Linked DNA regions of Drosophila melanogaster. The protein of the gene in region 1 interacts with the protein of each later gene in a pairwise test. Each region holds a gene or a part of one and is shown in the gene's direction. Other genes may lie near its edges. The genes, in order: Ten-a and Rgk3.

The links.
Region 2: the proteins of Ten-a (region 1) and Rgk3 interact in a two-hybrid assay, tested with the Drosophila melanogaster proteins (one large-scale study listed by BioGRID).

Annotation. Positions count from the first base shown.
Region 1 is NC_004354.4:12,122,790-12,133,411, forward strand, and holds the start of Ten-a (tenascin accessory), read left to right. Parts: upstream 1-5,496; 5' UTR 5,497-6,125; intron 6,126-10,622.
Region 2 is NT_033778.4:21,251,859-21,262,280, forward strand, and holds the start of Rgk3 (Rad, Gem/Kir family member 3), read left to right. Parts: upstream 1-3,939; 5' UTR 3,940-4,445; intron 4,446-5,400; exon of another isoform or gene 5,401-6,153; intron 6,154-10,422.

The DNA of each region.
Region 1 (10,622 bases):
ATAAGATCAACTTGGTGGCACACTCTTCGTGTGTTAATGCGGATTTCATGAGGGATTTCGTTGGTGGTTGGGTGGTGGTTGGTTCAACACACACTTGTTGAGGATGTAACTGAACGCACACACATTCAGAGAGGCACACACACATTGAGAATTTTCCACCAACACACTAACACACACACACACACACCCATACACTTGGTAGAGGGCGTGCTAAAAAAGTTTTCATAATTGACGACAAGCTGCAGGATGGCAGGGCCCAACACTTTTGTTTTCCGCATTTTCTCCCGGTGTTTCCCCTTTTCAGCGGGATGATGATGATGATGATGATGATGGGCAAATATTTTACGTCATTAATTAGCGCATGGCAGCGCGCTTGAAACTATTACGTAATACGATAACACCAGCAACAACAACAACGCATAAACTATTATGTGCAAAATTTTTAATGACGTTAGTGGGTGGGCTTTACAAAGGGACGCCGGGTTGAATTTAAAAAAAAAAAAAACCGAAAACTAACATTGTTCGAGGCATCGGCATTCCGCGTCTGCTTTTCCTCACCTCAAAATATATCCTTTTTGAGGTCCAAAAAGTGAATTTGTGTTTAAAACTTGGTAGAAGTAAAATGAGTTTAATTGACTTGATTTTCGAACAAAATTGTAAAAATGTTTACATTTAGTTTAGCTTTCAACAATATTTCCATTATTATATTTATTTCATAAAAACTTATAAAAATTTTTTATGAAATCAAAAAACATATGATATAACCTTAAACTTTTTTTTTTGCTGTGTTATCCTTTTGTTTACTTTACTTTTCGGTTTCTTTCGCTGTTATTTTTGATGCCCTTATAATTAAATTATTTAGCGCAAATTTGTGCACAGTTGTTGCCTCTCCCACACACACACACACACACACACACTAGCACTGAAGGACACTCTCACGCACATATTAGATATATTATCATTACTACATAGCGCCCTCCCGCTCATCCGATCCATCTGGCTCGCTCGCACACTGCCTCAGTTCATCTCTCACTCGCAGGATAATGAGAATTTAAATGCAGAAGATGAAGATAATTCTGAGTTAAGTTGGGTAGGTTCGTTTAGGAAATGCCTTAACTTGTCACTTCTCCGCCTAAAAAAGGCGCAAATATAAACGCTGCTAGTTCGTCCGTTTCTAGTCAAACTTAAAAATTTGTATTATTAGCAAAAAAAATGAAAAAGCCTAAAATTCCGCAAGAAAATCAATATTTTGTTGGAGTTTTTTTTGGGTATAACTTGACTAAAAATGGTCACAGAGCAAAAAGAATTACCATTTTATACTCCTTATAACCAATACTAATAACCCCTGTTACTGTTAACCTGATTTTGTAAAATTAATTTTTGGCCAAATTTTCGCATTTTTTGTAAGGGGTAACATCATAAAAATTTGCAAAAAATTGAAAAATCCTAGAATTCCCAAACTTGAATGCAAATCGATTGTAATTTAAAAAGCAAACTCAACGAGATATGACATTCCATATTTGGGTAATTATTTCCAATGTTATGATCAAAATACCGAATATTTTTTTCACCAAAAATCTAGAAACTATTTTTGGCAAAAAACTCCATTTTCAAGTTCGCTTTTTTGGCTATAACTTGACTAAAAATGGTCACAGAGCAAAAAGAAGTACCATTTTATACTCCTTATAACCAATACTAACAACCCCTTTCACTTTTGAACGGATTTTGTAAAATTAATTTTTGGCCAAATTTTCACATTTTTTGTAAGGGGTAACATCATCAAAATTTGCATAAAATGGCAAAAATTTAGAATTCCTATTTTTTGGCACAGTTTGATTGGAAATTTAATTACGAGCTCATTGAGGTATGACATTCCATATTCAGTCAATTATTTTTAAAGTTGTGGCAAAAAAACGAATTATTTGATGACCAAAATTCGGAAAAATCGCTTTTGCCAAAAACTTGATTTTACATACGGTATTTTCGTCATAACTTCTCTATAAAATGTCATATAGATGAAAGAATAACTGTTTTGAGCAGCTAATTACCAATGCTAACGATCCCTATCACTTTTTGAAGGATTTAGGAAAATTAGTTTTTGGGTAAATTTTTGCATTTTTTGTAAGGGGTAACATCATCAAAATTAGCAAAAAATTTAAAAATCCTAGAATTCCCAAACTTGAATGCAGATCGATTGGAAATTAAAAAACAAACTCAACGATGTATAACATTCCATATTTGGGTAATTATTTCCAATGTTATGATCAAAATACCGAATATTTTTTTCACAAAAAATCTGGAAACTATTTTTGGCAAAAAACTCAGTTTTCAAGTTCGCTTTTTTGGCTATAACTTGACTAAAAATTGCCTCACATCAAAAAGAATTACCATTTTATACTCCTTATAATCAACACTAACCATCCCTTTCACTTTTTAATTGATTTTGTAAAATTAATTTTTGGCCAAATTATCGCATTTTTTGAAAGGGGTAACATCATCAAAATTTGCCAAAAATTGAAAAATCCTAGAATTCCCAAACTTGAATGCAGATCGATTGGAAATTAAAAAACAAACTCAACGAGGCATAACATTCCATATTTGGGTAATTATTTCCAATGTTATGCTCAAAATATGTAGGTGAGAGAAGAAATTAAGTTAGATGGTTAAACCAGGTGGTGCCATTTCGATGACCTCGGCTGTAGCTCAGAGAGTGTTACTTAAATGTAATTTGGAAGCGTGTTTACGGCAAAACCCGTTTGCAGCCTCCGCCGGAGTCCTTAGTCAGGACCGTTGCCAAAGTCGCAGTGAAACTCGTACCGAAGTCATAGTCACCGACTGCGTCTGTCTCGACTAAAGGGGATTATGAATCACCCGATGCGATGTTCCCGCATTCAGTTTCGCTCCAAGGGTCTTAAGAAATCAGGAGTTCAACTTGCTTGTTTGGTAGAGTGCAAAATGAATCTAATTTGTATTAGGGTATTTAAAACGAAAACCGCAGAAATGTTCGTAAACCAATAAACATGTTTGAAATGCTTGATTTCAATTTAAAAGCCCATATATTTAAAGTATACATATATCTGATGATTATTGAATTCGTTTTTTTTTCTTTATGGAATGCCCAATGACAATGGGTGATTCCTTGATGCATACGATGCCTGGGGCACAGACACATAAATGCTTATTAGCATTAGTAGCACATTATGAGCAATCGAGGAACAGACACACACTTACACATACAAAGCTTTTCCGAGGGTGGGAAAACCTCCAAAATTTTGCGCTTACTCAAAATGCTCCAGGTATCGGGGTTGAGCTAGCATTTGGCATTTGCCACCGCCAGCCATTGTTGTTTGGGGAATATTGTCAAGCGACTTGTGTGTGTGTGTGTGAAGCTGGCTGGTTTTGAATTTTGCATCCCGCATCCTGTATTCCTTCCGTAGCCAGCATTCGAATCCCGACTGGATACGCGTCCCAACCGGCGGCATTGAGCTGCAATTAGAGCCTGCGTGACACCCGTGGAACTAATCAGCTACTTTCTGGTTAAAAAAAAAAACTTAAATAATGTCACTTCAGAGTCAACACAACTGCATTGAACAATTTCGGAAAATGTTTTGATGGAATTCGATGTGTTTGATTTACTTAAATCATTTATGTTTCTAAAGTTCGGAGTGCATCTACTTAAATCATTTATGTTTCTAAAGTTCGGAGTGCACATGCATGGTCATGACAAGTTAGTTTTGTTGGGACTGTACTTGAAGGGCAGGCAAAATTCAGATGCAATCTTGGCTCGTCGTCAAATCGCTGCTGCCAGTTATTAACCAGTTACTGTTTCTTTCATTCAGCACTTTTTGTGCTATTTTCTTTTTATTAACCCCTCTACTGATTTCGTCACGCGCAGCCGGAAATTACTTTCCAGTTTTTTTGTTTCAATTTTTTTTTTTTTTTGCCCTACCAGCACTAGTAGTTCACACTTGGCAGATGCGACTTTTCCGGGCGGAGAAGGAGGTGGGTATTCGGCACCATCCGTGACCCCCACTTTTCGCTGCACTTCCTCCTCGGTAGCTGGCGCTCTCTCGCTCTTTTTTTTCTATCAATAACAAAAGGAAGCCTTATTAGAGTGTTCCTTTATTTGAATGCCACATTTCACGCCATGTGGTGGATAAATGCGGGGATAGCCGGGGGGGGGGGGGGGGGGTCGCGTCTATTGTGAGAGTTGTTCTTTTTTCCAGCTAGCGTACGGTGCCCCCGGAATTTCCCCGAAGCCATCATGGAACCCACGATGAACCCCCGCAGAAACCCCAAAACCTCGACAAGTTGCCATTGTCAGCCATTGTGGGGTCCTTTGTTTTAGCCTGGTCTTTGTCAGCTGGGGCAGCTCCTTCAGCCGTCTGCTTTTCCCATTACCCCAGCACTTTCCACTGGCGCCACCCACGCCATCCACTAAGCCAGTTTGCCGGCTTTTCTGCATTTTCTTTGGCCGCCATCAGTGGCAACTTTTCATTAACCAAAAAAAGAGCTACCGTGGATGAAAACCCCCATCATACATGCTAAAAAAAAAGACACTTGCCAATGAACACTGGCTGAAATTAAAAAAAAAAATAGTTTTACTTACAGTTAACATTTAGCAAAACAAACTTTAATTTAATATTGAATCCAAATATTAAATTATAATTTATTAATAGCTATAAAGGTAATTAAAATTACTACAATTCATAATCTTTTTTTTATAAAATACATTTTTATTTTACTCATATTGTTTCTGTCGAATATATTTTTCACTAATTTAATTCTTCCTTTAATTTCTTGAATTTCGAAAACTTAAGAGAGAAGCACTTGCACTTACCGCACAATGCAATCATTTTTGTAAGTGCACTTTTGTGCGCCCTATTTAACCATAAATGAAGCCGGATGAATAACTCCGTCGCTCGTTTTTGGCGGCAACTTGTGATGATCAGATTTCATCATTGAGTGCCTGAACGTGTCCACTTTAAATGCCAAATTAAATCGACTAAGCGTCGATAAACAGGGTCGGAAATTTTGGCCGAAACCGCCAAAAACTTTTGGTGGCTGGTTGAGAGCAACAGACGTCTGGCCGGAAAAGCCGGAAAAGCTGGGAAAGCCGGCTAAGACGAGAAAAAAGGGGGGGGGGGTTAGTGCGAAAGAAATTGCGGCAATGGATGGATGTGTGAGGGACATCAACTAATTGAAATTGCGCGCCAATTTTGTGGCTTAGCCTGAGTAAGTTGGCCCTGGATGAGTTTGTCTTGGCCTAGTGACATGCGCACACTGGATACGATGGCTAAGAGCCGAATGTGTTTGGCTTTTCGTGTCGTGGCTAGGTGGCAAAAAGCAAAAGGCCCGATAGACCGAAAACCGAATGGTGTACTTCGTGCGTTGTCGTGGGTCGTGGAAAACATACAAAACACCAACTCGGAACTTGGTAAACTTTGGATACTAGGCGGTCGGGTTGATGCGGGGTGATGTGCGTGTGGATTCATTCGCTTGGCCAAAATATCGGCGAGTGCAGTTAACGTCGGTATCTGCACGGTTTCGCATCGGCGGCGCCGTCAGTTGTCGAGCAGCGGTCCAACGGTGCGTATGCGTATTTTAGGCGGCTAACGGTCCACGGTGCGTATGCGTGTTATTTGACCCACAGAAGTGAAATAGTGGTGTCTGTTGTTTCGTCGCTTTCGTCGCTTTCGTGGTGTCTTCCTCTTGTTTGTTGTGAGTCGACTTCTTCGCGCGAATTGAATTCATTTTTTTTTTTTGGTCACTCTAATCGACTGCGCTACTTGCTCGACTTTGTTTTTTTTTCAATTTTTGTTGTTTGTTTTGGGTTCGATTTGTATGGAATAAATATAATAAAATCAGCAAATAACCAAGGCAAGACCCTAGTGAAAAGTGTGTGAGTGAATATATCCGATGGAGAGAGGGAGAGTGTGTGCAATGTCGGTATTCGGTTACCATTGATAAATGGCAAACAAATTGAATGGCAATGGCCGGTGAATATTAAAAGCGCCCATACAAATAAAAAAAAGAAAGTAGAGAAAGGAAGGAAAGAAAGAAAAAACACCGCTACAAGCCGAAATCAAATCACACGTGTCATATCCGTTTCGTTTTTGGGAAAGGTAAGTTTTCGTCAAATAATTGGTTAAATTTTATGGAAATATTTACATCCGATCTCCGGTTTCCTCGAAGCCCGTTGGGGACATTGATCATTTTTTGGGTTAGCTGGTTGCTTAGTTTGTAATACGAGAATGGAACATTAAACACTTGCCGCCCGGAGCAAAAGGGATACATGACATGAGCACTTCAATCTGTCGTATTACCAAAAATGGGCTTGTGATTTGATAGGTTGATGGAAATTCAATGGGTTTCACATTTCCATTCAAATTGTCAACTTCATTGGAGACTTGTGCGTTACCAATTAGGGAGTTTTTCTAATTTTTATATTTCCATTCTTGGTTTCTTGGTTAATTAACATTTGCTGGGTGACTTTGAAAACATTATCTAATTCAGAAATAGCACAAAATATTGCTGTTGAATATGCATAACTATCCGCCAAACTAACAGTTTTATATATTAATTTCGACTACTTTTAAGCAGTTTATATTTGTTTGGTCATCTTTTTAATTTTATTTGAATATCAACATCAAAGGGTAAGTAACCGTTAACATATAATTCTATAGACTTCATATCGGATTAATCGCTTTAAATATCAACGAAAGCGTATACAAACTTCGGCTTGCTGTAGTTAAGTTTCACTATCGCTTTCGTTTGAGGTTGTTAAGTGCAAATTACAGCATTGATTGACAATAAACTATTATAAATGCCGTGATTAAAAAGAAATTGCTGTAAATGAATAGCACTTAAAAAGTAATAATTAAAAATATGTCACTTAATAAAACTGATTACCGAACATAATCGTTACACTCTTATTATCGGATTATTGAAATGGGATTTTAATAGTTTTGGATTAATATAATCTGCAATGGCATGTAAATACTTCCACTGATGTCTTTCATATTTAGCAATGAAAAGATATTCGCAGCTTTCCCCTGTTAATTTATAAACCTTTCGAAACTCCGGGAATCAACCGAGCTGGACAATTGCCATGGCCGCTGTAAACGAATCAAAAATTTGTTTGCCAAACGCTTTCACCCAGGGGTCTAATTCGATTTGGTCAACTGCAGCTAATAAGGTCAAACTGAATGAATGAATGTGTGTGTGTGTGTGTGCTAGTTTTTGGCCGGCGATATATTTAGCATTTTACACGATACCAGATTTATGCACCACATCCTAGTTGGAGGTATCGGTATCCTCCGGTGGCAGTTCCATCATCATCGGATGCCGAATCGAATGCCGTTAATAATGGAGCCCGGCCGGGGGCCAATGAATTTCATAATAATTAAATTAAAATCTGTTTATTTATGCACTTAAGCCGCAGCAGCAAAAGCAGCAACAACAGCAGCAGAGGCACAAAAATGCCAATAATAATAATAAACACAAGTAATAATAATAATAACACGGCTTACAACCGACCATTTTGGGGTGACCATTCGAATGAAATATCTAGATTAAATATTATTTATAATTAAAGCAAACAAATGTTCGTCCTACTGTGCCCTTTGAAATTTTGCCTTTAAATGCTCCGGTATATGCGGTAATTAAAACAAAACAAAAATATGTGCATAAATATGCCTGTGCATTTGGTATTTAAATCAATATTGCGACTAAAATGAAACTAAAACTGACTGAATGAAACACACACTTTCGCAAGATGGCAAAACTAATTTGAAATGGAAATAAGTTCTGATCTGACGACTTGCAGCTCTTGCAGTTGCCGACTTTGATTGAGATACAAATTTCATATTTACCCCGGCCTTCTGCATAATCTCTCAATTAGCCCGGGAAATAAAGAGATGCCAGTTGAGTGGGCGAATTGCCTCCTCGGGCGGAGAATTGCTAGCAAAATGAAAATTAAATATTTATGATAACTATCGGGGCCACGGACAACTTGAGCGAGGCAAAAATGCTCAATGCATTGACAGTGGCTGGACTGGGCACTTTCTGGAGGGGATTGGTGATTGGGGATCGGGGATTGCAGATTGGCCGCTCCACTCCTTTGACAACCAACATCGAGTGCAGCCCAGTTTGTTTCCTTTTTTTTGTTTTTTTTGCCACAAAGCAAAAATGGAAAAATGCACAGGAAAACAGTGCAACGTGTAAGCGGAAAAAAATTAAATAATAATTGCAGCAAATGGTAGACAATGGGACTTAGTTTTGTTTACATTGCAGCTGCTCGTTCAAAGTTTGTTTTATTTATTTATATTTTACCTAGTGAATTTTAGGAATTCTGTTCCGCTTTTTACCTGCCATCGATTTTCTTCTGTTTTACGTACATTCTGCTTATTCTGTAGCATCAGAATGAAAACTATTTACATGTTTAATGCATACATTTTTATTTAACATTGATTTAATTTAAGCTGGCTGCTGCATTTATGACAGATATGGTCTTCTTAAGTTTTAAAAGTTGCATATTTATGTATATATTTTATGATTTTTGTATCTATGTAAAAGTATTTGCGAACTCTTTAATATCCAATTACGCCATTTGTTCTTCTATCAAAAAAATTAAAGATGTTATTGTTGCATCAGTTTAAGTCACATTTGCATTTCGTTTTTATTGCAACTAGAAACAAATATTTTTTGTACATTTGCATTTGATTCAAAAAAGCATTCCAAGCAAAACATTTATATAATATTTTTTTCTTTTATGCTTGCAACAATTTTAATTGGTTTTTATTTTGTTGTTTTACATGCCACTTGTGTTTGGCTTATTGTTTTCGAGTTAATTGCCCTTAAAGTCGGATGGAATATCTTGTGTTTTTCAACAATTGATGATTGTGCTGCTAATTATTTTTTGTAAAAAAATTACTAATTATTCTGTGTGTGCAATTAGTTTATTTTTTTTCTTTTGTTTTATTTGTTTTACAATTTTCTGTTAAATTTTAGTAGTAAGATTCTTGTGATTGAAGATATATTCTTGCAGAAAAATGAACTTTAATTGGTATATCTTAATTACGCTGCATTGGTTGCAATGATTTTCCATTTGAAATTAATTGGTTGTTAAAATGTTTCTTAGAAATTGGTAGATTTTCTGTAGTATTTTCTATGTGCTTCTGTGTCTGAGCTCTTGATGTTGCCGCAGACTTTTACTGATGTTGCATATAGCCGACCGATGTTGCACGTTGCGAGATGCCACTTTTTATGCTAGCTTAGCCTGTGGCTCAGTCTGCACGGTACTCGTGGCAGATTCCCCCCATCCCCCCTGAAGGTGCTGAGTTTCTACCTTGGATTTAGCATGGGGATTTCTTTAATGGATCTTTTGCCGGCACTGATTTTGTTCTACAAGCAAAGTGCATTTGCACGCAGATTTCAGATTGCAGATAGCATGCTCTCAATGGTTGTAAACATTTCACTTTTTACTCGGACATTTTCATTTTAATTTTCCTCCTTATTTTTTTTTTTTTTTTTATTAGTACCCATTTCTGTGTAATGGGAATTAAGCCATCGGCCGCAATCAACCTTGTTATCGTGCTCAAATTGCAAAATTTACATACATTCGGGCTGCAAGGGTAAATAAGATTAGGCATGAACCTCGCCTACAGATTCATGGCCATGGAATGCAAATGGATGTGTGCCCAAATGTATATATAATATATATATATATTTATACCTATATGGTATATGTGAACTTTTGGCGAAGATGAGGGATGCTTTCGAGGTAACCGCAAGTGAGCGATCCTAATTGATGGTTTCGAGATGCTAGTTATCCTTACGGTTCATTGGTTAATTGCAAATGTGCATTTCTAACAAATGTACGGTGAGATGTGTGCCACATTGTACCGGAAAATTTGAACCTTACAGCTAAACGAATGGTAATCGTTTTCAATCAGCTGCTAAACTTTCGCATATTGTGCTTGAAAAGTTGCAGCATAAATAGGTGATTTAATATGCTTTACACACAATTTGTAAGACAGATTAGGGAAAAGCTTAGACTATTTCCAAATTTCCTAACATCCGCTTAAATTTAAGCGGCTGATTGCTGATAAACGCACAAAAGTGTGTGTAACGTTTTTTTTTTAGCCAACAGCTTAATTTGCGATCATGAGATTGTCCACCTACTTCCTTTTTTTTTTTTGGTCCTTCTCCGTTTATTCTACAACCAAATGAGATTCATGAGTCCGGCGAACACGTTCCTCATTTTACAGTGGAAAGGACATTGGGCATTCCTTTCATTTTAATAGTGTCACGTTCGGCGCGAAAACGGAAGACCCGAGGCGCTCGTTTGATAACTCAATTGTACCAGGCCCGACGCCTCAAATTGAATTTAATATTAATTAACTAATTTCAGTGCTGACTTCACTTTTAATTAACTTGTGACCGCCCATCGCCGCATCGTCTACTATCCACTGTCTAGTATATATATATATATATGTATGTATATATCTGTCGCATACAATCTTGAAATCATCTCGGAACCGACTGCGACGCTAATTTCATTTGATTTTGGCCAACATTTGAGGCAACCTGTCCTCCACTACCTCCCTTGGGAATTCCCA
Region 2 (10,422 bases), on another chromosome or scaffold:
GATTTATTAATGGTAAGCAATATCCTAAGTTATATTCTTAGCATAAAAATTGGCATGTACTTACCAAAGAGAAAATAACAATAAACCAGAATTCAGCACTAAATTTAAGAGTAACTACAAAACTATAAACATATTTCGCCGGCTAATTGGCAGCCATAGCCATCACTCTTTTATCTTCCCTTTCCACATTTTTTTCGTTGCCCGCCGAAAAGTTGCATAAATCTGTAAAATTACCCAAACACTCGAAAGCTACACACACAGAAGGTTGAGTAATGCCCGCGATTCACACGGAGTGTGGCGAACAGGAAAATTGTAAATGAGGGCGGAAAATGCCAAGGGGAAAGTTAACCGAAAAGCGTAAATTTTCGGCGGCGAAGAATACGTCATAAAAACGATTTAACAACCGAATAAGCAACCGCAAAAGCGGAATGACAATGACTACGCTGTGCCCAACTCCTTGAATTTCTCCAATGCCACTTGGATACCTGCTGCTCTCCCTTCCACTTTTCCGGAAATGAAGCCGTCGCGGCGCTTAAAACAAAGGATGCGAAAAGGAAAATCCATCTGATGTTGGGTAATACCTGTTTCGTTATATGTATTACAAATCATTCATGCGGTTTCTGGGCGGCAAACCTCAAAGAGAGTATCTATCTATTGGCTGGCAAATAATTCTCCAGAGATAAATCTTTTCATTTCGCCTTTGACGGCTGCCGTTGAGGCAACTGCTTTTTTTTATGGCCTATCAACGAGCGTCTAATGCCGGCAATTAAAATAAACGACAGACAAGCGAAAGCTGCCTGCGGCCCAAGCTGCCTTAACTCATCCTGCAAAGGATTTGCAGTTGAATTGGAGGGTAAACGCCTTCCAGCTGCTAGAAAATGTGCGTTTAATGAAATTTTTATTCAATCAGCACAGCAACTTTTATGGCAAGACGACACACATAAAGGGAGGCTAACCTGTTGAGTTTATGATAAAGTGGCTGCCCTTCCTTTTACCCCGATCCCGAACGCAATCCCTATCCCGAAGTGCTCCACTTTTACAGCCTCCATTTATCTTACACTTTGCGCCACGCAACGCAACGCGTCGAGTGGAAGATGGAAGGGATTTCCCCGAGCGCTATGATGTTTGCTTAGTGCGGGATATGGAAATGGATAGATGGAAAATTCTAGTCGAAGGTTTTGACAGCTATTAGCTTAGTCCTGTTGATAAATATACTATAAAATTTAATATATATACAATACAATTGCATACCATATAAAAGAAACTAAATTTCTTTCAAAGGCCACCAAAAATTTGCCACCATTTGCAATGGAAATGGCTAAAGCAGAGACAAACTCATGAATATCATTAGCAACAGCTTCATTTTGTGAAACCAGTTGTCGACATGATTTTGTTTTCCCTCTTCCGGCTGAGCTCCTTATTATACACTTACCCACAGCCCTCGAGCTGCAATTAAGCGTTTGCGGCGTGGCAAGTTTTGGGCAAATTGTTGCCAAAAAAAAAACGAGCTCAAAGCGACCGACAAAGCCACAGCAGACAGCTGGCAAAGAGGTTCCCTTTTCCTTTTGGTTTTTGGTCACAACCCACCTCTTCCACCTTTTTTGGCCGACAGGTGTGCGCATTTCATTTGCATAGATTAGCTAGATTAAAGCGAAAGACGAGCGATACAAATCCTGAGTGCTATATTTGGTGGCAAGTCGCCACTTGGCGGCGGCACCGAAAGTTGCGATGCTCGGTCTCAATCCACCGTTTGTGGGTTAATTAAAAAGTTTTTCGAAATAAATTAACATAAATTCTCGTTAGCCGGCAAATCCGCGAAAATGAATTTTCTTCTAATTGACCAACACCTGAGGCTGTGCCGGCTTTTATCCTCCCTTCAATCGGCAGCAGCAACAATTGGCCTTTAAGCGCGAGCTTTAAACCACTTTTTTTTTGTCTTTCCTGTGAGCGCCAACTTAGCTTGGCCCGCTTTTTTATCTGCCAAATATTGATCGCATTAGTGAAAAGGCAGTGGGTTGGGTGGGCGTGGCCGGTTCGTCGGTTCGAGTTGAGCTTTTGCCCATGTGGGTCAAGTAAATCAATTGACAGCTCTTTCCGAACTTGAGCGAGGACAAAGGCAATCCATTGGTGTATTTGTGTGCGTTTCGCAGTATGGGTGTGTGCCACCTGGTTGCCTCTATAAATAAATCATGGCTTATGATAATGTGCCGCACAAGCACACACCCCATGTTGATAAGATATAGGCCATCGTACTCAACCACGTGGCAGGAGTCGCAACAATAACACAAACAGCCATACAGTCATCGCTACAAAAGTGTGTATATATATTATTAATTTTTACAATTAATGTTTCAACATAAATACGAATTTTAGAAAGTAACTGAATCAATTAGTTAAAGTTTGAGTACTCATACCACTCATATTTACATATTCACAGGTAATAATTAAGCTAATGATACTTTCTACTGTATTCATAGCATGAACCTTCGCCACAATAACAAAAACAAACAACATTTGACTTTAGTACAAGGGTTCCATTTGGTTGAGTTTTCCTTAAGCTTTAAGGACTTTTCCTTTTTCTTTTCCTGCCCGCCCTTTTCACAGTGTGCGTGTGTGTGTGTGTGTGCAATTCCTTCGTTCACTTAATCATCATAAAACTTGACATATTGTGACGTTACGACCAAGAAAAAAAAAAAAAAAAAAAATTTACCAAATTTTGCCCATATGCGATATGCGACGCTGATGGGATTTGTTTGCTTCGAGCGAAATTGTTTGCGGTCTGTGCGACAGTTTTGTCTGAAGATTAATTGCATTTCGCGCTGCAGCAGGTGCGTTTATTGTTGGTATCGCTATTTTTGGCACTTGCATTCACTGCATTTGGCAAATGTGTTTGGTCATTTGGATAATTGCAAATCGAGTCGAAGCGATCAGCTCGAAAGTGCTGCATGTCACAAGTATTTCCAAATGAGAAATGGTTGGAGTTTTGTCAACAGGAATACAGGATGCACCAAAAAGAAAAATTTGTATAAACAAAAACAAATTTATTTAAATATTTAAACAATTTTACGAGAATATAACATGAGTCATATAATTTCTTCGTTTGGTTTATGTAGTTTTTATTCAGCATTTAACGGCTGGAATTGTTTTCATATTTTTTTTGTTTCACAGTCCATAAAAACATATGCATTTACATATAACGTTTATAGCATCGTGTGCTAATTACTTTTTTAATTTTTTCTTAGCCAAAATGTAAATATATATTGGCAAATAAACCGCGAGCATGAGCAATGGGTAAAACCCCAATGTACTCAACCAAAATCGAAACATTAATAAAATGCCAAATAATGCTCGTCACAAATTCTAAATATTGCTTGGCTGTCAGCGATTTCGAATCATAAAAGAACCAACGGAAAACACAAGCTATAAACAAGGGAAAAACAAAACCGAAACAGAAGCAGAATCAAAATCACAATCAGAACCAAAACCAAAACAAAGGAACCAACAGAGAAAGGGTCAGGAAACAAAAAAGAATAGATTTAAACGTTGCAATCCCCAAAGCGCCTTGGCTGCCCCATATTTGCCGCCCAATTGCCAACCGCTAGCCACCCACTTTTCACTACCTTTTCCCACCCACTTTTCACTACCTTTTCCCAACAGCTTTTCCACCATCCTTGCGCTCCATTGATGGAACATTCAAAACAAAGTCAGCAGAGACAGCCGAAGATAAACAAAGCAAAGTCGTAAAGAAAAAATACAAACAATACAAATGGCGCGGCAAGTGGAATGAGGGGGGGAGTGAGTGGTTGGGCAGAGCAATGCGCTCGGAAAAGCTAACGGTGACGTGGCTGAGCTTTTCCGTGACGTCACAGTTGAAAGCGCCGAACCAACTGCCACACCGAACCGAGATGCGAACCAAACCAAACTGAACCAAAATCGCTTCAAACACTCGACGGCGCTCGCACGGATCGGATGTGAAAAGCGTTTGGAAAATCGCCCAGCGCTTCACGTATCGTTTCGTTTTCAGTTGGAAAACCGCGTTTGAAAATACGCCAACCACAATAACAGAATTAATCAAAACAATATAATATACTCAATATATATATTTATGCAATGTGTGCCTGCGATTCGTACACAAGTTTTGTGGTGGAAAATATTTGAAATCTAAAATATTTGAAAAAGAAAAATCGCATGTGCTTGTTTTTCGGTTTCGGATTCACTTCACAGCTGAAATCTATCTAAAAATAACGGAAAACAAGAAAAAAGAAAGTGAACAAGTGCACAAAATTATCTCGCTATATATATAAAAAGTGAGCCGCCATCACAATTTTCTTTTTATACCAATTATCGATCAAATACATAAGTAGTGCCATACATTTTCGCTGGACGCTGGAATTAGAATTAGTAACGCGCCGGGATAGTCGAAGGTGCCAACAGTCGAAATACAGGTTTGTTTTGATTAATTAAATTGCCTAATTGTAGTGTCGTGACTCAAATAGATAATTTATCACAAAAAAGTTGAGAGACCTTTTGGCGTAAGTGTCGTGTGGCCGGGCACTTTTGGCGTTTCCGGCAGCGGTTCGATTTGTTTACTTAATTCCCAGCTCCATTTCCCTTTTTGCCGCTTCCTTTTCGACGCAGGATAATCGGAAAAACCTTAAAGAAACAAAAGCAGAACAGAAAAATCACTCATACGCCGCGTTGGCCTGCACATTAAGTATTCAACGGCAAAAAGTCAGCAGCCTCCATCGGTTTATAGTCCTTCCTTTCGAAATGGTTTTCTTTTTGCGAACGAATTCTTTGGGGTGCCATAAAGCATTGCACTCGTTGACGAGGGGGGGAAATTGCTAAATAACAATCAATTCGGGCAGTGTAACAAAAGATAAATGGATTTTCGACTGCAAGCGGCAATGCAAGAGCCTATAAAATAAATAAAATACAATTTAATCAGAAGTCATGGCAAGGCTGGTGGAATATTCCCGATAATCGAGCTGTAAAAACTCCATTGGGACGGGAAAAGCCCTTAAATGTCGTTGAAATAAATTTACAGAAAAGCCCCAAGGGAATGTGGGTAAAAAAACGAACAATTTGTGGCTAAGTCGCAGCGTAACTACGAATGCAAATGAAAAACTTGATTGAAATGTTGTTTAGCTAGCTAATGTTTTCATAATTACATACCCATGTAATTAATTTTCCTACTTTTCAACCGCTTTTGAACTTTTGGTTACAGTAATTACATTTTCCTGGAATTATGTGGCATGTTTGTTTTTCATATACATGCAACTTTACTCGTATGCAGTTTCATGTTTCTGCAGCTCATCATTCCGTTCTTTTTTTTTTTTGTTCACTTTAAGCCAAATGTCAATGCACTATATACTTATATATATATATATATCTTGACAGACAAAAAGAAGGGGCAACATTTTAGTTATTGCCACATAGACTGGACTGCATCAGATAGCATTAAATTGCTGGTCACTCGCAATCAGCGAAAACAAGCGAAACTGAATGGAGCAAACAAAGAGCAGTTATTGCGGGCAATCATTAGTGATACAAATCGCCGAAACAATTCCCCGGAGATCTGGAACCTAATCAGGACAGTCCATGACCACAATTCGCAATCGGAGGAAACGTAAATGTAGCTGCAGTGCGGCATTTTGATTTCAATTCACTGTTTTTCGAATGTGTGTGCGATTGCTCCTGCTCCCGCTCCTGCTCCATCTCGAGCTACTGCACCCAATTGGCCCCCGGCCAATTAAAGCAAAGTGTCTGGCACCATTGGCACGCGACTTCCTGGCCACGCCCCCGGTGCAAAGGATCCGCATGGAATGGAGCCACAAGCACACCCGCATACGAATGAAAGTGGAGGCACGGACTGCTTTTATGGCAAATCAAATTAACAACTAATTCCATTAGAGTTTGAGCAAGAGAACAGCCACCACTAATTGCAGTAGGTAGGTAGGCAGGCAGGCAGGCAGGCAGAGGACGCCCATCTGGTCATAGCCAAATTCGTAGCTCTTGGCCGAAATGGATTGGCCAGATTGTCCCCCTAGGCCACTGAGGGTAAAAATATTCCAAATTCAATTAAAAGCACTGCACTGCACTGACTACAACCATGAAGTTCAGCCACCAGAGCCCAACAGTCTGGGAACAAAGGTAAGTTCCTGAAAGCGTTTTGCACCTGCACCTGGCATCAGGGACATCGGTGGCAAAGGACCGTGCCTCTGCGGCTCTGGGGCTGAATTCGGGTTTCGACCTGGTCGCGGCATTGTCCACCGCCTCCACGGCCATCCCGTTATCCGGCTTTATAGCCCAACACCCCCGGCACTTGGCCCCCAAAAATGTCGTCGCCCCTGTCATTGCTTTTTGGACTTTTTACGCCCGGAAAAGCAATGAACATGACAGCTTCGTGTTCCTATTGCTGCACTGGCGAGAAAAGGGTTGCCGTAAGTGGAAAATATAATCATTTATTTAACCGCTTACATGGTAAAAAACGCTCCAGTAACAAGTGAGAGAAAAAAAAAGAGTTTAGTCTTGACTAATTGAATGAAATCAAAGTCTGCTCCAAATACCTTAAATAAAATTGATACTAATTATTGTCGGCTTTTTAAAGCAAGAGTGATTTAATTATTTTACCATATTTCTCGAGAGCTAACCCCTTTTTTTTTGCCGTGCACAACACCCGTTTTACTTCAGCAGAAAAACGTGACTGAGCCCAGAGTGCCAGTGACAATTGGGCAGCAAATTGGAGCAGGAGCCAAGTGGCTGCGATGTCAGTGAAGTGGGTGGCACATTTCCGCTGAATAACTCCTCCTCAGCCAGACACAACTAACAAAAATATTTATGCACACACTTAAAATGCTTCCAGCGACCAAAAGCAACCAACTCCAAACCCTAACTCAAACCCAAACCCAAACCAAAACCGAGCCAAACAAACAAACAGCAAGCAGTTCAAATGCGAATAAATTCCTGGCTAGCTTAACTTTTTATTCATTTTCCTATGTATTTCCCTGGCGGCAGCCACTTCCTCCCAATTCCACCCAGCTTGCTTTGATGGACATTGAGAACACTTCCAGCAGGATTTGCCCCCCCCCCTTGTTTTTCCCTTTCCTCGGCGAACATAATTGCAACTGTCTGGGTCAGCAGTGTCCATGCAAAGTGAATGGCATAAAGAGTTGGAAAATCTGATAGTTGCTAAAAGAAAAAGGAGGCGCCATTGATTCCAGTCAAATAGTTTCGAATGGAATCACTGGAGTAGAAGAATAATTCTGTGTCAGCCAAGAGGTTGGTTAATTTGAGCATAATCTGCGAAGTTAGCAGAGATTAGCTAAATTCCATAACCTCTTTGTTACTACATACGGATTTCATTTAACTCACATAGCGCAGCCAAATATTTCCTCTCAATTATTCACTTCCAAAGGCATTTTTCAGTTGGCTTAGCAGAGCTAACAAAAGAAATTCCTCGAATGGCCGTAATAAAATCGAACAAAGACCATGTGAAATCAAATGCTAACCAATTCGGGCGCTTCGGGTGAGGAAAAAAAGGAAAATCGCAAACTTCCTCGTTCTATTTCCGTGCCCAAATTGCCGCTCAACAGATGCCAAAGGACATTTCCCCGATAGTTAATTATGACACACACTTCAAAGTGCCGCAATTATCCTGTCGCAAACTAAATGAAGTGAATTTTTGTGTAAACATCTGCGCCGGCGGCCAGACTCTTGGCTTGATTTGAATCTAAATTGAGAATAACAAGCCATCGTGTAAGACCCCCAATGAATGCCACTTGAAGTAAACAGCGGGCGGCAGCCAAAGGTGGAATAAACGGAATAAACACACACACACACACCAGACACACACAACGCACACACACACACCCACACCCACATGTGTGTCATAATCACCGTGAAAGACGTCGAGTTTAAACCAAACAGACAGAGCGTTTTGAGGGGAACTGCGGAAAATGGCGGTGGAAATCTGGCGAAGAAGACGGCACATTAGGCGGCATAATCTGCCCTTGAGCTCCATTTTGCCCAACGATTTGGAAAATCTTTGTAGCAAAGTAAATTCTCGAGCAGATTTCGCTCATTCCCGCCGCCGTTCGCCTTTTTTCCGGCCAGCAATCCCTGTTTATATTCGGGCTCCATCTCATCGATTTATCGAACATTAAGCACGAAATCAAAGGAAACACTTGCGTGAAATAAACATAAACTAATGTCAAGCTGTTCGAAAATCTTTGGTCAACTGAAAAGAAATAAAAGTCGACTGGCTGAAAATCTTTGGTCAACTGAAAACAAATAAAAGTCGACTGGCTGACGGAATTTCATAATGATTTCGAAATATTTCGCTTCTTTTGCTTGAATTTTTTGAATCATAAAAATTCTTCGCACGCTTAGTCCACACTGTCACATTCAAATGCTGGATAATTTATTTAATCATTCAAATTTGTTTTCATCCCAGCTGAGAGCAGAAAGAGCAAATGAAATAGCTCGCTGCTAATAACATGCTGTCCCATTAGAGCTAAAACGACCAACGACAACGTGGCGTATGCGCAATAAAAACTTTTTGTTTTTATTTAGCTCATTTGCGTTGACAAGCTGCCAGCGAAAAATGTTAATAGTGAGCTAGCTATATATGCTCAAGCTTGGCCCAAGATCTCAGCCAGAAAGTGCTGCCACTAGCTTTGGATTAATGTCGCCAATCAGCGGCCAGAAATAATAGGAAGAGAATCCTACTCCTGATCCCACCACCCTTCCTTTGGGACAAGCAGCCGGCGCTTTGTGACCCATTGAAATTAATTTTGCAGCAACAGGTGCTGGCCATGAGCATAAACAAATACCCCTGTTGCAAGATGGGGCTCAAAGGGAAACATTAAACAAACGCTGCGAACATCCACTGACAACGACACGAGCTGCACTGCCACACGGATAACAACATGGACATCGGACAAGGACGTGGATGTGGATGTGGACATGTTGAAGGAAGCCGCTGGCACGCCAAACAAACTCGCACACAAAGGAGGCGTGGCTCAAGGTCATATGCTGGACAAGATGAAATCGAGCGTTTCCTGGCGGATAAAAAAATGTACGCATTAGTTGGCTAATAGGCAACTGCATTCTATACGAACTTTAATGTGCTTTAAAGGGGAATATTTCCTGAATCAGCACAAATAATCACGTTAGCTGCACATCTATGTCGATTGTGGATTTATAAAACATACTAAGCTGAACATACTAAATTTTAAATCAATTTATTCTCGACCGCAATCAACTTTCATTTAAATCAAATCAAATTTGCAGTTTCAGCTAAATGCTTGTGATGGTTTCACCTTTGTTTTAGGCAGATGAATTGCCAACCTTGAACCACCTACTTTCCAGGCTAAAAAAACAGAACCCTACCCCTTTCCGCGCCATATAATCCTTATCTGTTGACACTTTATCGGGGATTTTATTTTTTGTTGTTATTTTTTTGTAGGGTTTATATTGGTAGGCCGAAGCAACCATTTTTTGGGCTTATTTCTGTGATAGCCTACGTTGCCTGGAACCGAGCACAGCTGTCATCATTTGGGTGGCCTGATTAGCCGGGCGCAGAAAACGCTGAAGCGAAAATATTCATGTTAATAACTAGCAACAGGCCAACCGATAAGAGTGGGAGCGAAATTTTGGCCACATCATATCGGGCCATAAAGGCAAATGACCACCAAACGCACCACTAATATGGCCCGAAAATGCTGGCCAAAGTCTGTGAGCATAAAAATGAAATGAAAATGAATAGTGAAGCTTTAAAGTTCTGGCATGGTGACACCATACTCCTACTCTTCCTACGGCCAATTAGAAGGAATCACACACACACACGCGCAATGCTGTTGTTAGCCAGAAATGCCAGCGGCATCAATTGAATGCAAACGAGGCAAGCAGCCTTCCAGTTCCATTTGCTGACAAAGGATCCCCGGCGAAGATGAAGACGAGGAGGAGGAGTAAGACAACTTCATCGTCATGTGGCCTGGAGTTTCATGCACGACTGGATGGGTCAGCAGCTGAAATCATCATCGGCGTACCCATTTCGCTTTCCCTTTTTTAGTGTGTCCTGCGTAATGCATCGCTGGATTCTCACAGCACAGAAACTGTTCGCAACCCTTTAAAGCTGCTTAAGTCAAAATGCTGGGGTGGTTTTGGCCGCTTTCTTGTTGCTTTTGGCCCAGGTATACATAAAAATAAAAAAAAAAACGCTTTAATATGCAATATAAAATGCACTTTCACTTACACATAACATACACTTTTAGTTTCTTGGGAAGTCGAATGAATTTACATTTACATTTGGCCATTTTTAAGGCACCCCTTTTAGCTACCTTTTTCTCTCAGTGCCGCTGACTCTTTATCTCAAGCTGTTCTCGCATAAGCCGTCGCGTTAAAGACGTTTTCAAGTTT